4 linked regions of the Macaca mulatta genome follow. The protein of the gene in region 1 binds, or shares a complex with, the protein of each later gene. Links are inferred from orthologs where the notes say so. Each region holds a gene or a part of one and is shown in the gene's direction. Other genes may lie near its edges.

The links. The genes of interacting proteins can lie anywhere in the genome.
Region 2: UBTF (region 1) and TAF1C share a complex: the UniProt entries of both Homo sapiens proteins name them as parts of the pol I pre-initiation complex. The link is inferred for Macaca mulatta from reciprocal best matches to the Homo sapiens genes UBTF and TAF1C.
Region 3: UBTF (region 1) and TAF1A share a complex: the UniProt entries of both Homo sapiens proteins name them as parts of the pol I pre-initiation complex. The link is inferred for Macaca mulatta from reciprocal best matches to the Homo sapiens genes UBTF and TAF1A.
Region 4: UBTF (region 1) and RRN3 share a complex: the UniProt entries of both Homo sapiens proteins name them as parts of the pol I pre-initiation complex. The link is inferred for Macaca mulatta from reciprocal best matches to the Homo sapiens genes UBTF and RRN3.

The regions. Positions count from the first base shown.
Region 1 is NC_133421.1:68,584,137-68,587,656, reverse strand, and holds part of UBTF (nucleolar transcription factor 1), read left to right. Parts: intron 1-1,159; coding exon 1,160-1,224; intron 1,225-1,502; coding exon 1,503-1,623; intron 1,624-1,981; coding exon 1,982-2,092; intron 2,093-2,428; coding exon 2,429-2,562; intron 2,563-2,687; coding exon 2,688-2,829; intron 2,830-3,103; coding exon 3,104-3,145; intron 3,146-3,237; coding exon 3,238-3,351; intron 3,352-3,441; coding exon 3,442-3,520. UniProt on the Homo sapiens protein: Recognizes the ribosomal RNA gene promoter and activates transcription mediated by RNA polymerase I (Pol I) through cooperative interactions with the transcription factor SL1/TIF-IB complex.
Region 2 is NC_133425.1:79,548,169-79,551,417, reverse strand, and holds part of TAF1C (TATA box-binding protein-associated factor RNA polymerase I subunit C), read left to right. Parts: intron 1-225; coding exon 226-307; intron 308-496; coding exon 497-594; intron 595-670; coding exon 671-760; intron 761-854; coding exon 855-928; intron 929-1,562; coding exon 1,563-1,801; intron 1,802-1,942; coding exon 1,943-2,059; intron 2,060-2,142; coding exon 2,143-2,260; intron 2,261-2,343; coding exon 2,344-2,415; coding exon of another isoform or gene 2,416-2,554; coding exon 2,555-2,690; intron 2,691-2,831; coding exon 2,832-2,975; intron 2,976-3,249. UniProt on the Homo sapiens protein: Component of the transcription factor SL1/TIF-IB complex, which is involved in the assembly of the PIC (pre-initiation complex) during RNA polymerase I-dependent transcription.
Region 3 is NC_133406.1:80,401,820-80,404,111, reverse strand, and holds part of TAF1A (TATA box-binding protein-associated factor RNA polymerase I subunit A), read left to right. Parts: intron 1-73; coding exon 74-192; 3' UTR 193-223; exon of another isoform or gene 224-540; intron 541-580; exon of another isoform or gene 581-937; intron 938-2,292. UniProt on the Homo sapiens protein: Component of the transcription factor SL1/TIF-IB complex, which is involved in the assembly of the PIC (pre-initiation complex) during RNA polymerase I-dependent transcription.
Region 4 is NC_133425.1:15,995,289-15,998,808, forward strand, and holds part of RRN3 (RNA polymerase I-specific transcription initiation factor RRN3), read left to right. Parts: intron 1-2,440; coding exon 2,441-2,593; exon of another isoform or gene 2,594-2,752; intron 2,753-3,520. UniProt on the Homo sapiens protein: Required for efficient transcription initiation by RNA polymerase I (Pol I). Required for the formation of the competent pre-initiation complex (PIC).

The DNA.
Region 1 (3,520 bases):
TTGGGCCTGTTCTCCTGGCTCTGCCACTGAATCGCTGTGTATGGGGCCTTTGGTAAGTCATTTTACTTCTCTGGGCCTGGTCCTTATGTGAGGTGAGCCAGGTCTGTGTGGTGTTCTCCAGCTCTAAAACTGTTTTGTCTGAGGAGGACTGAGATTGGAGAAGAGGAGGCTGAGCTCTGCTTCTGGTTTTCTGTGGGAACTATGGGAAAGGAGCGCTGCCTCTCTCTGTCTGGTGCTTCTATAAGAGGCGGGTTGGGCTCAATTGCCATGAGCTCCTGGCACCTGCCAGTGCCACTCTTGTGAGCCTGCGAGGATGAAAGAAGAGATGGACATTGCGTGGCAGCCAAGAGAGGAGGTTGATGAAGAGAAAGAGACACATTGGAAAGGAGGAACAAGAGGGAGACTTTGCAGAAGTGGGGAAAGATGCAGGGAGGGAGTGAGGTGAGGGTGGGAAGGCAGTGGGGAGGCCAAAAAGGGGGTGATGAAGGGAAGGGAAGCCAAGTGGTGGGAGAGAATGAGTGGGCTGAGGGAGGGAGGGCTGGAGGGGACAGACAGCTGGGATCCTAGAGAAAGGGAAGAAGGTAATGGTGTCAGAAATAGGCGGGAAGGTGCAGGGCAGCTGGCTGTGACTTGTATTGGAAGAACTTACTCTGGGTTCCCCTCCACACAATCTCCCCTCATGCCTTGGAAATAGGACTCAGCCCAGCCCTGGCCCCATGTAGAGGCCACCTCCAAGGGGCCAGACTAATGTCAGCTGCCTCATAGACAGTGAGAAGAGGGAGCAAGGCCTGCACCCGACTCCACTGTGAGAGTTCTGTGGTATTGGAGAAACGAGTGGGGGAGCCTCAGCGCTGCCACCACGCACTGTGTGACTGTGGGTAATGCCATGGCCCCCTTCTGGGACTCTCGCTCAGAAGGAGAGAATAGGATATAGGATTCAGTGTCTGGGCAGCCCCTGCAGCTCCCACCATCTGTGGTAGAAGCCAGCAGGTCTGCTCTGTGGTGAGTCCCGCCGGGAGGCGGGCAGGGCACCAGCCTCCACTCCCTGCATCACAGCGTGGGAGGCAGAAGAGCCAGCGAGGAGGGGCCTGGGTAGCCTTCATAGCTCAGGGCAAGATACCCTTGGGTCCTGGGTGACCCTATCCCCTCCTCCCCCCAGATGAAATATATTCAGGACTTCCAGAGAGAGAAACAGGAGTTCGAGCGAAACCTGGCCCGATTCAGGTAAGGCAGTGGAGCCCAGAGGAGGGCTATGGGGAACTGGGGGCAGCAGAATAGGCTAACCCTGGCCAGAGCCTGGAGTTTGCCATCTCTGAGGCATGGAAGAGGATGGGTCACATGTGAGCCCTAGTGTGTCATGCTCAGGGGCAGGGACAGGCAGGCAGCCACTGTCCCACTAAGCCCCAGCTGAAAGGCCCAGGAGGCTTGGTGGGTGGGGCAGCTAGCTTGGGTCTGCCCTGACAGCGTCCCCTGCTGATCCTTGCTCCCCATGTCCTGGCTAGGGAGGATCACCCCGACCTAATCCAGAATGCCAAGAAATCGGACATCCCAGAGAAGCCCAAAACCCCCCAGCAGCTGTGGTACACCCACGAGAAGAAGGTGTATCTCAAAGTGCGGCCAGATGTGAGTGTCCGGCCAAGGGCTGGGGATGGAGGATGCACGGCGGTGGCCAGGGGGGAGCCGCACCAGGTCGGCCGGGCACGGTGCAGGGGAGCAGGAGAGGAGGCCCCTCCCCAGGGGTGGGCTGCATGGACAGGGCCCGGGCCAGCTGGCGTGCGAGCGTGTGCGTGCGTGCGTGTATGAGCCAGTCCCCTTGCACCTAGGCGGGATTGCCGCTCTCCGCCTTCCCCTCCTGGCCTGTGGGGGACACTGATGTGACCTCCCATGGCCTGAGGGGGCGGGGGCATCTGTGCCCCCTTCCCCCCTCCCCCTCCCCCTGCCCCTGGCTGCCTGTGCGTGTCTGACGGCTTTTGGTTTGCAGGCCACTACGAAGGAGGTGAAGGACTCCCTGGGGAAGCAGTGGTCTCAGCTCTCGGACAAAAAGAGGCTGAAATGGATTCATAAGGCCCTGGAGCAGCGGAAGGAGTACGAGGTTAGGCTTCCGCTGCGCTCCTCCCTGTCCGGCTCTTCACGAGCCTCTGCCCTCTGACTCCGTGGCCACCGCACTCTGCGGGAGGTGTCACTCCCCATCCTCTGTTGAGGGAGGGGCCTTCTGGGCCCCTCACCTCTGCCCCTACCTTCCCCACCCCCCACCCCTATGAGATCTCAGGCTAGGGCAGGGCAGGGCACCATGTCTCATGTGACACCATTGACGCGCAGCCATTCCCAGCTTTGCTCCCTGCCTGCCCTCCCCAGCGGCTCTCCCCGTGCCCCTGCCGCAGCTAACCCCACACCCCATTGCCCTCCATCCCCCCACCTGGCTCTGCAGGAGATCATGAGAGACTATATCCAGAAGCACCCAGAGCTGAACATCAGTGAGGAGGGTATCACCAAGTCCACCCTCACCAAAGCTGAACGCCAGCTCAAGGACAAGTTTGATGGGCGACCCACTAAGCCACCTCCGTGAGTGCTGCCCTGGGGTGGGTGGGCGAGTGGGCAGCTGGGAAGTTGGGCTGGGCTCTACGGGTGAGGCGGCCTGCTGTCCTGCTTGCTCACGGGCTGCGCCTCTCTCCCCATGGCTCTGATAGGAACAGCTACTCGCTGTACTGCGCAGAGCTCATGGCCAACATGAAGGACGTGCCCAGCACGGAGCGCATGGTGCTGTGCAGCCAGCAGTGGAAGCTGCTGTCCCAGAAGGAGAAGGACGCCTATCACAAGAAGTGTGACCAGGTGAGCTGTGGCAGGGGCCACCCTGCCTTGGGGTTTTGAAGCATGAGGTCTGATCCCATCTTGGGCTAGTCAGTCCCTGGTGGCGTGTGCCTTGGGTACTTGCCTCCAATTCGGTGTGGGGCTGGGCTGGGCTTAGCAACTGAGCCCATCCAGGCAGGGAGTCCAGCCCACACCCAGGCTCTGGAGGCCCACTGAAGGTCACTGTCCTCCGAGTACTGCAGGGTCTGTGGTGACACTGTCACCAGAATGATCCTGACTCCACTCACTTTCCCAGAAAAAGAAAGATTACGAGGTGGAGCTGCTCCGTTTCCTGGAGGTAAGTGTTCCTCCAGTAGGGCAGTGGGCAGAGAGGACTGGGGCTTGGCAGGCAGAGCCCTCGTGAGCCCTGTGCCCCTCTTTCCTCTCCAGAGCCTGCCTGAGGAGGAGCAGCAGCGGGTCCTGGGGGAGGAGAAGATGCTGAACATCAACAAGAAGCAGGCCACCAGCCCCGCCTCCAAGAAGCCAGCCCAGGAAGGGGGCAAGGTGGGCAGAGGGTGCGGCCGCGCAGGCGGGGGTGGGCAAGACTGGGCTCCCTGGCAGCACCACGGACCCCGACCCTCTGCACCTGGACAGGGCGGCTCCGAGAAGCCCAAGCGGCCCGTGTCGGCCATGTTCATCTTCTCGGAGGAGAAGCGGCGGCAGCTGCAGGAGG
Region 2 (3,249 bases), on another chromosome or scaffold:
CAGAAACGTGAACTCTGGGGTCAGGCTGCCTGGTTTACATCCCAGCTATTCTCTTTACCAGCTCTGTCATCTGGGGCAGGTGGTAGTGTGACAATGCCAGTCATCCCAACTTCGCAGGATTGTTGTGAGGATTGGATGAGTTGATAAAAGATGAATGCCTGCGCAGAGCCTGGCCCGGGGAAGGCACTCATCATGATACTGTCGTTGTGATTGTCTTCCCTTCAGAACGGGGCAGTGCATGTGACCAAGGACCTGCTGTGGGAGCCGGCGACCCCTGGGCCTCTCCCCATGCTGCCTTCCCTCATCGGTGAGAGTCTCATTCCTCTGGGCTCATTCCACACTGCTCCACCTATTCTTCCCGCAGCTCCCACTCCTGAGACCTTCCTCTCCCTGCTAAGCCTGTGCTCGCTCAGAGCCCTTGGATGCCTCCAGCCGCCCAGGGCATCTGGCTGCACTCCTGTGCCCTCCCCAGCCCTTTCCGTAACCTCCTCCTCAGATCCCTGGGACCCTGGCCTGACTGCCCGGGACCTGCTTTTCCGCGGAGGGTACCGGTATCGGAGGCGACCCCGAGTCGTGCTGGATGTTACTGAGCAGGTGAGTGGGCCCACGGGGGACAGTGCTGCGTAGCCTGGAGACTATGCTTAGTGACCTGGCCTCCTCCTCTCCCCAGATCAGCCGGTTCCTCTGGGATCATGGAGACGTAGCCTTTGCACCCCTGGGGAAGCTGATGCTGGAGAATTTCAAGCTGGAGGGAGCAGGGGTGAGTGGCCCATGACACCAGGGGTAGGGACTCCCTGCTGTCCTTCAGGGGTGAACTTGAGGGTGTGTGAGCTTGACGAGGCCTTTCCATGCAGAGCCGCACTAAGAAGACGACAGTGGTCAGTGTGAAGAAACTGCTCCAGGACCTCGGTGGACACCAGCCCTGGGGGCAAGTGGCTAATGAGAAAGGAGGAGATGGATAGACGTAGCTGGTGGTGGGGATATAGGAGGTGCTAGGACGCACATCCAGGTTTCTGTCATACCCACTTCCCACCTGCTCCATGCAGTCTGAGCTGTACTTTCTTATACCAGACTTCCAACTCCAAATCATCTCAGGGGAAAGCAGATTTAAATTTGTGGGCTTCAGGCATGGCTGCATCCAGGTGTTCAAATAATATTCGTAGAGCTGTGTCTCTCTTTACTCTGTCGTCCACTTGCCTCTTCCTGCACAGTTCCTAGACAGGCTGTCTGTAGGTAGCAGCAAGATGGCTTATGATCTAAGGAAAGAGCCAGTGTCCTTCCTGAGGCACCAGAAGTCCCAGAAAGGAGTTTGGTTGGCTTGGCTTGGGTCTCACACCCGTCTGTGAACCAGTCGCTGTGGCAAGGGCAATGGAATATTGTTGATGGCCAGGTCTGGGTCCCATGATTGCTTCCAGGGCATGGGAACAGGATGGGGTGGTTTCCCAAAGGAAGAAATTCTAGGTAAATAAGAAATGTGTCCACTGCACTTGGCCTCCTTGGGATGGGACCTGTCCTCCCCTGAGTGCCACTGAGTGATCCTCCTGCTGTTCTCTGGTCCCCAGGTGTCCCTGGGCTTACCTCAGCAACCGACAGCGCCGCTTCTCTATCCTTGGGGGCCCCATCCTGGGCACATCGGTGGCGAGCCACTTGGCAGAGCTGCTGCACGAGGAGCTGGTGCTGCGGTGGGAGCAGCTGCTTCTGGATGAGGCCTGCACTGGGGGTGCGCTGGCCTGGGTGCCTGGAAGGACACCCCAGTTCGGGCAGCTGGTCTACCCTGCTGGAGGCGCCCTGGACAGGCTGCGTATCCTTTCTTGTGAGACAGGCGATCCCAGCGGGCTCCCGTCTGGTGGAGGAGGTGCTCTTGGCATGGTCCAGGGAAGGGCAGGAATGTGGGGCTTGCAGTGGCCACAGCTCGTGCACTGATCCTTAGTGAGAGGCCCAGATTTTCAAGAGGTTGTTCTGAGCCCAGGTGACAGTCCCCAATTCCTTGGGAACCCTGGACGCATCCAGCTCCAGGGACCTGTCCGGCAGGTGGTGACATGCACTGTCCAGGGAGAAAGTAAGGCCCTTACACATGTTCCTCCCTCACTGGCTGACCTGCTGCCTGACCCCTGACCCCTGACCCTTTCCATCCCTCCTCAGCTCTGCTGGCCGTCCGCTCTGACTACCATTGTGCCGTGTGGAAGTTCGGTAAACAGTGGCAGCCAACCCTTCTGCAGGCAATGCAGGTGGAGAAGGGGGCCACAGGGATCAGCCTCAGGTGAGGGGGAGTCAGTCTGGTCAGTGAGGAGGGGCTGGGGGCAGGGGCGAGCAGCCTGATGTGAATGCGTTCCTGCCCTGTAGCCCTCACCTGCCCGGGGAGCTGGCCATCTGCAGCCGCTCAGGAGCCGTCTGCCTGTGGAGCCCTGAGGATGGGTATTGCCACTTCCCATGAAACCCCCCACCCTAACACACTGAACTCTGGCCCGTCACTCCCTGTTCAGCATGTCGCGACCCTTGATTCCCTTCCACATCAGCCTGTCCCCCCTACCCATGGCTTGCCCATCTCCCCAAGGCTGCAACAAGTCTACAAGGACCCCGAGACCCTTGTGTTCCGGGACTCCTCTTCCTGGCGTTGGGCAGACTTCACCGCCCACCCTCGGGTGCTGACTGTGGGTGACCGCACTGGAGTGAAGATGGTTGACACTCAGGTATGGGGTGGCGGCAGGAGATCTGCCCTGACTGCGGGAGCAGCCGCAGAGCAGTGAGTCCCAGGCTGGCTGCGGCCTGGGCGAGGATGGCGTCATGGGCCTGGGACTGTGGGGAGGGCTGACCCTGTGTTTCTCTTCCAGGGCCCGCCGGGCTGTGGTCTGTTGCTTTTTCGTGTGGGCGCAGAGGCTTCGTGCCAGAAAGGGGAGCGTGTCCTGCTCACCCAGTACCTGGGGCACTCCAGCTCTGAATGCCTGCCCCCTACTCTCCATCTCGTCTGTACCCAGGTGAGTGGTACACACCACCGCCCCGCCCCACCTCTGCTCTGTCTCAGATGGGCACTAGAGGCTGCTGCTTACCAGTGGCTCTGCTGGGCCCAGATAACCACCCAGCAAACCAGACTCAACCCTGGATGAATCTGTGGCCCCAGCACGCAGTGGATCCCACAGCCGGTGCTAACAGGCAGGTGGGGAAGCTCTCCCAGGGCCTCCCCTTGGTAAGGGCTTCAAGGTACAGCCAGGGGTGGAGCGGTGGGGGAGGAGCAGCCTCGGGGTGGGGCTT
Region 3 (2,292 bases), on another chromosome or scaffold:
AATGTAGAAATATACTTGAAAAATGTGAAAATGTGATGAGTATTAAAACTTTTTATTTTGCTTTACTTTTTAGGTTGTAGATATTTTCGGTATATTTTAAAGCAAGATCACCAAATCTTAGGGAAGAAAATTAAGCGGATGAAGAGATCTGTGAAAAAATACAGTATTGTAAATCCAAGACTCTCATACTGAATTTTAGTTATTTCACAGTAGTAGCTACACAGTAAGTAGCTCAGTAGATAGTTATTGAATGTGTTTATATAGTTATGTGTTATGTATTAAGCTTATATTACTACAAAAAACTTATTTTTATATATTTTTATATTTTTGTATTATTTATAGCTAGAGAAACAGTATTACTGCCTTTGCTCTTTGTAACTTTGTCTGTTTTCTTTTTTGTAATGTTAAATGTTACATTTGTTAAAGAATAATTCTTGAAATGACAAAATATTAGAGAATATAGTTCTACAGCAGTTATTGTTTGCAAATACTTTGCCTCTGGCTATTGTGTAATAAACTATAACTTGTGGTGCTGTGAAATGAATTTATATTCTTTTATATGCTAATTAATCAATTTTAGGTATACTACCATGAAGAAATATAGTGGTGATGAGTTCTGTTGAGGAATTTTGAAAAGAGAGAAGGATTTAGAAAACACTCTTTCTCGGCCAGGTGCGGTGGCTCACGCCTATAATCCCAGCACTTTGGGAGGCCTAGTTGGGTGGATCATGAGGTCAGGAGTTTGAGAACAGCCTGGCTAACACAGTGAAACCCTGTGTCTACTAAAAATACAAAAATTAGCTGGGCGTGGTGGCAGGCACTTGTAATCCCAGCTACTCAGGAGGCTGAGGCAGGAGAATCGATTGGGCGGAGGTTGCAGTGAGCTAAGATCGCACCACTGCACTCCTGCCTGGGCCACAGAACTAAACTCTGTCTCAAAAAGAAAAAAAAAAGAAACTCTTCTTTTTCAGTATAAAGACATGACAGTTTGGGGCAAAATAACCTCCTGCTAGAGAGAGACCTTTTGCTCTAGAGGACTAATTTGGGTTGTAGCAGTAGGGAGGGCTCGCTCTTTTCAGTTGGCATTGGCCTCACTTCAAAAGGCTCTCGGCTTTTTGGTGCCTGGCACAGCAGTCTATGATCGCGAGGTCAAGAGATTGAGACCATCCTGGCCAACATGGTGAAACCCTTTCTCTACTAAAAATACCAAAAAAAAAAATTAGTCTTGGTGGTGTGCACCTGTAGTCCTAGCTATTCAGGAGGCTGAGGCAGGAGAATTGCTTGAACCAGTGGAGGCTGCAGCGAGCTGAGATAGTGTCACTGCACTCCAGCCTGGCAACAGAGCGAGACTCCGTCTCGGAGAAAAAGAACTCATGCGTCCCCTCTCCTTTTTCTCTTGGAAACTAGGATGCAGCGGTATGTAGCTGGACAGTGGAGGAAACTCGCCAGTGGAATAGTATCCCTGAGTCACACAGTAAACCCACTGGGAAAACCTAGCCAGAAGCCAACAGCAAGTTTCCTGGTTTATGGGCTGAGCTTTATAATATGTTGGGATAATTGGTAGAATAAGTGCTTCTTCAGAAATGTCAGCTTTTACATTTACTGCTGGGATAACTAGTAATTGAGTTCCATGAAAACTCACTAACTTCAGAGCAAGTCTAATAGTTAGATGGTGAGACACACGTTTCCCATTGGCTTATATTCCTACTAATTCTAAACCATCTGCAAGAAGATTAGGGGACAAATTGTGCTTTGTGAATAGTTTATATTTCAATATTACTTCGTAAGAAAGGTCTATCAATAAAGAAGTACTTAGAAAGTACATGTAAAATGAGTAGGCATTCCACAGAGCCAAAATAAACCAAGTTTAACTTTTAACATAAATAGGGTAGCTTTACTGCTGCGAGTCCATGATTCGGTTGTGTAGGAGTTCTGTATAAGACTAATACTCTAGCAGTGAAATTCCCAAAGTATGTGGAAAACATCTGAAAGCATAGGCCAAGATCTGCTTCCTGAAACTTTTCGTCAAAAGCAATAAAATAGGATTATGATTTCTTTTGATCTCTAAGAAAATGGAGGTGAGAATAAAGAAATGAGTAGATATGTTCTTGGTTTCCATACAAAGCTGTCTCAACATTTTTACATCAAATGTTCTTATCTAATTGTTAGTGCAATTCACCTGTGAAACTTTTTTTAGGTGCACTGATGTTTAAGCTGCTTCCATGAATAACAGTAATAGCTAAAATTCATCAAGTACTTTGGGCTTTACCTTTCATTGTAAAACCACCACAG
Region 4 (3,520 bases), on another chromosome or scaffold:
ATACCACTGCACTCCAGTCTGGGCTCCAGAATGAGGCCCTGTCTCTTAAACAAAAACAACCCAGTCCTTGCAGGAAATATTGTAATACAGCTATTGTTTTTGTACTTTAATGGCATTGGAAATTGCTGCTACTTCTTATCCAAAGGGCATAATTCAGCAGAAGCCTAGGCACTTTGAAATAAGTAAGGCAGCCAGTAAGCTGAGAGGGGCAAAGCCATAGATGCTTATTAGAGTGACTCCTGTAATAGTAACAGAAATAAACTGGACGTGAGGCAAATGTTGACCAGTAAGAGATTGGTTTAGAGAGTACTGTTCTCTCAGGTCTGGTAGCTATGGTTAATTCATAGCCTTTCCTCTGTGCCAGGCAGTTCTCAGCACTTTACGTAGAACTCATTTGATCCTCAACCCTGTAGGATGAAACCCTGTTTATCAATGGGGAGGTGGAGGTACAGAGAGGTGACATCACTTAACCTGAAGTCATAGAGCTAGACTGGCGGCACAGATTTTAATGTAGTCTGGCTCCTTCGTAAGCTTTCACTAAGTTATTCTGCTTTATGGAGAAAGCAAATTGGAGAATTGAATATTTAATGAGGATATTCAGGCCGGATCATAGCCTATAATCTTCAACAGGTAAGAGCCAGCAGCTTGCTGAGCTCCTTCAGCCTCTTTAGTTCTCCTTTGCGAGGCGTCTGGTTCAAGGTGGGCTCTCTTCTGAGATCTCAGTGATAGTGGAGGGTTAGGAAAAGGCATCGAGAGACCAGCAAGCAGCAGCAGTGGGTGGCTGGAGGCTTCAGCACGTTGGTTAAGATGGTGGGCAGCTCAAAGAGTGAGGACGGATGAAGCAAGCAGAGGCCGCTGCCCTAGTATATTCTCGGGGTGGGGACAGAGGACTGCATTTGTGAACCAGCTGGTCCAGGGGCTCTCGATTTGGGGTTGGCATGCGCATTAGAGGTACAGAGTGTGCTGCCATGTGAGGCTGAGAGCAGGGGAATGAAATAAAGGTCTCTGCCTAGGTACAGATATTGTAAATAAAGGTGTGTACTGTTCTGCGGCTGTTGCTTTTGCCTGCTTGATGGTTTTGAGATTGAACCATATTGCCACAAAGCTTTATTTTGATTTTAACTGCTGTGTTATGTTCTGGGAATCTTTTTTATTGAGTCTTTGTTGAGATTTCATTTGTTAGTTTTTGTCTTTTTTTTTTTTCCCGAGACAAGGTCTTGCTTTGTCACCCAGACTGGAGTGCAGTGGCGTGATCTTAGCTCACTACAAGCACCGCCTCCCAGGCTCATGCAGTTCTCATGCCTCAGCCTCCCGAGTAGCTGCGTCTACAGGCGCCTGCCACCACATCCAGCTAATTTTTGTATTTTTAGTAGAGATGGGGTTTCACCATGTTGACCAGGCTGGTCTCAAACTCCTGAGCTCAAGTGAACCGCCTGCCTTAGCCTCCCAAAGTGCTGGGATTACAGGTGTGAGCCACCGTGCCCGGCTGGCTGTGTTCGTGTTTTAGTTTTCAGGAACATTGCTGTGTGTGTGTCCTTGTGTGTGGACACATGCTTCCTTGTCACACACCCGGAAGTGCGGTCAGCTGCAGGGTTGTAGGAGATGCAGATCTTCAACTTGACCTGATAGTGCAAACCACCCTCCAGTGTGGTTTTGCTGATGTGGCCTCCACCAGGAGGAGGGGTCAAGTGCCGTGAGCCTCGGCTAACAGGACAGAAATCGAAGTATGTGGCTTGAAGTTGCCATGGTGACCTGGGAACCTGAGGTGGAGAGTGACAGAAGCGAGATCTAAGTCCTCATCTTGGAGAAGCTGTCCAGTAAATAATTTTTCAAGTTGCTCAATCATTTAGAGACAACTACCAGAAAAATTAAGAACGTAATTGTCTTTTTGATTTTATGCTTTCTTCTGTGCATTTAACTGTTCTCACTCTGCATGTCTAGCCTGTTTCTGAGGTCATGACTTAGTCAACCCCATGTTCCTCCTTCAGTAAAGGCTTATTTCTTGTTCGGGGCTTCTTCAGCAAGTCTCTTCACCAACCGCTATTTCCTCCGGAGTAACTCCTGAATCCCTTTTCCACCAACCCTCTACTTCTTTTGCAAACAGTAAAAATGAAGACACCTGTAGTTATGTAATCTAAGAGTTTTGCCTTGCAAACAGTTATTTTTAATGAGTAATATCTATTACTCAGTAAAATCTAAGCCCAGTTTTGCATTCTGAGTGATAGCCACATTTTCTTTCTCCGTAGCAAACTTGCAAATAGAAGACCCAGAGAATGGTACCCTAAAAGTGTTACTTTCTGCTTTATATTGTTATTTTCACTAGCACTTGTTATGTTCAGCGGTTTCTCTGTGGTGGGTACAGTTGTCACACGCAGCTCACATCTGCACAGTCACTCCAGCGTGTTAATGCCTCTGTCTGTGTTGTTTTTTTGTTCCACAGTAAGTACCAGCTCGTCTTCTGCTACACCATCATTGAGAGGAATAATCGCCAGATGCTGCCAGTCATTAGAAGTACCGCTGGAGGAGACTCGGTGCAGACCTGCACAAACCCACTGGACACCTTCTTCCCCTTTGATCCCTGTGTGCTGAAGAGGTAGGTACTTTAAACTTTGACGCTGGAGGAGGTGGATTTATATGTGATACATGTTTGCTCTTCCCAAGATTGGGATTTAGGGCTCTTCGCCAGAAGTGGCCCTTCCTCGCTGTTGATGAGCGTCTCGTGGTCTCCCTGCGAATATTTCACAGGCCCAAAGTGGAGGATGCCTAGCAGGACTTGCTGAGTGGCGCAGGCACCCCAGAGTGGGTGGATCTTTGCCTCACTAGGAGCCAGATTGATACCAAGGGTTTTTGTTTTATTTTTTATTTTTCTTTAAACTGTTATTTAAACATATAAGGTTGTGGGGATAACAGTGCCAGGATAGGGGAGGGTGCTGTCTTTTCTTGCTGCATAATTTTCTGTCAAGTGCCTTGTTCCTTCCTCTAGAGACCACATCCCATTCTGTTGCACAGGATAAACAAAAAACAAACGATTGGCTGGGCACAATGGCTCACGCTTGTAATCCCAGCACTTTGGGAGGCTGAGGCGGGCAGATCACTTGAGGTCAGGAGTTCGAGAGCAGCCTAGCCAAGATGGTGAAACCCTGTCTCTACTAAAAATACAAAAATTAGCCGGGCGTGGTGGCAGGCGCCTGTAATCCCAGCTACTTGGGAGGCTGAGGCAGGAGAATTGCTTGAACACGGGCGGTGGAGGTTGCAGTGAGCTGAGATTGTGCCATTGCACTCCAGCCTAGGCGACAGAGTGAGACTCTGTCTCAAAAAACAAAAAAAAAAAAACAAAAAAAACCACGATTTATGTAGATAAATTATTCTAGAAAACCAGTGGGCCAGCCTTAACTTGGCACTTGTATAAGGAAGCAGGATTTTTGCTTATTATGGTTTCTAAAATAACTAGCAGCATCATGACCATCTGGGATTGTCTGGTCCCTGAAGTCTTGGTTGACTGAAACCAGATTAGTTGTTT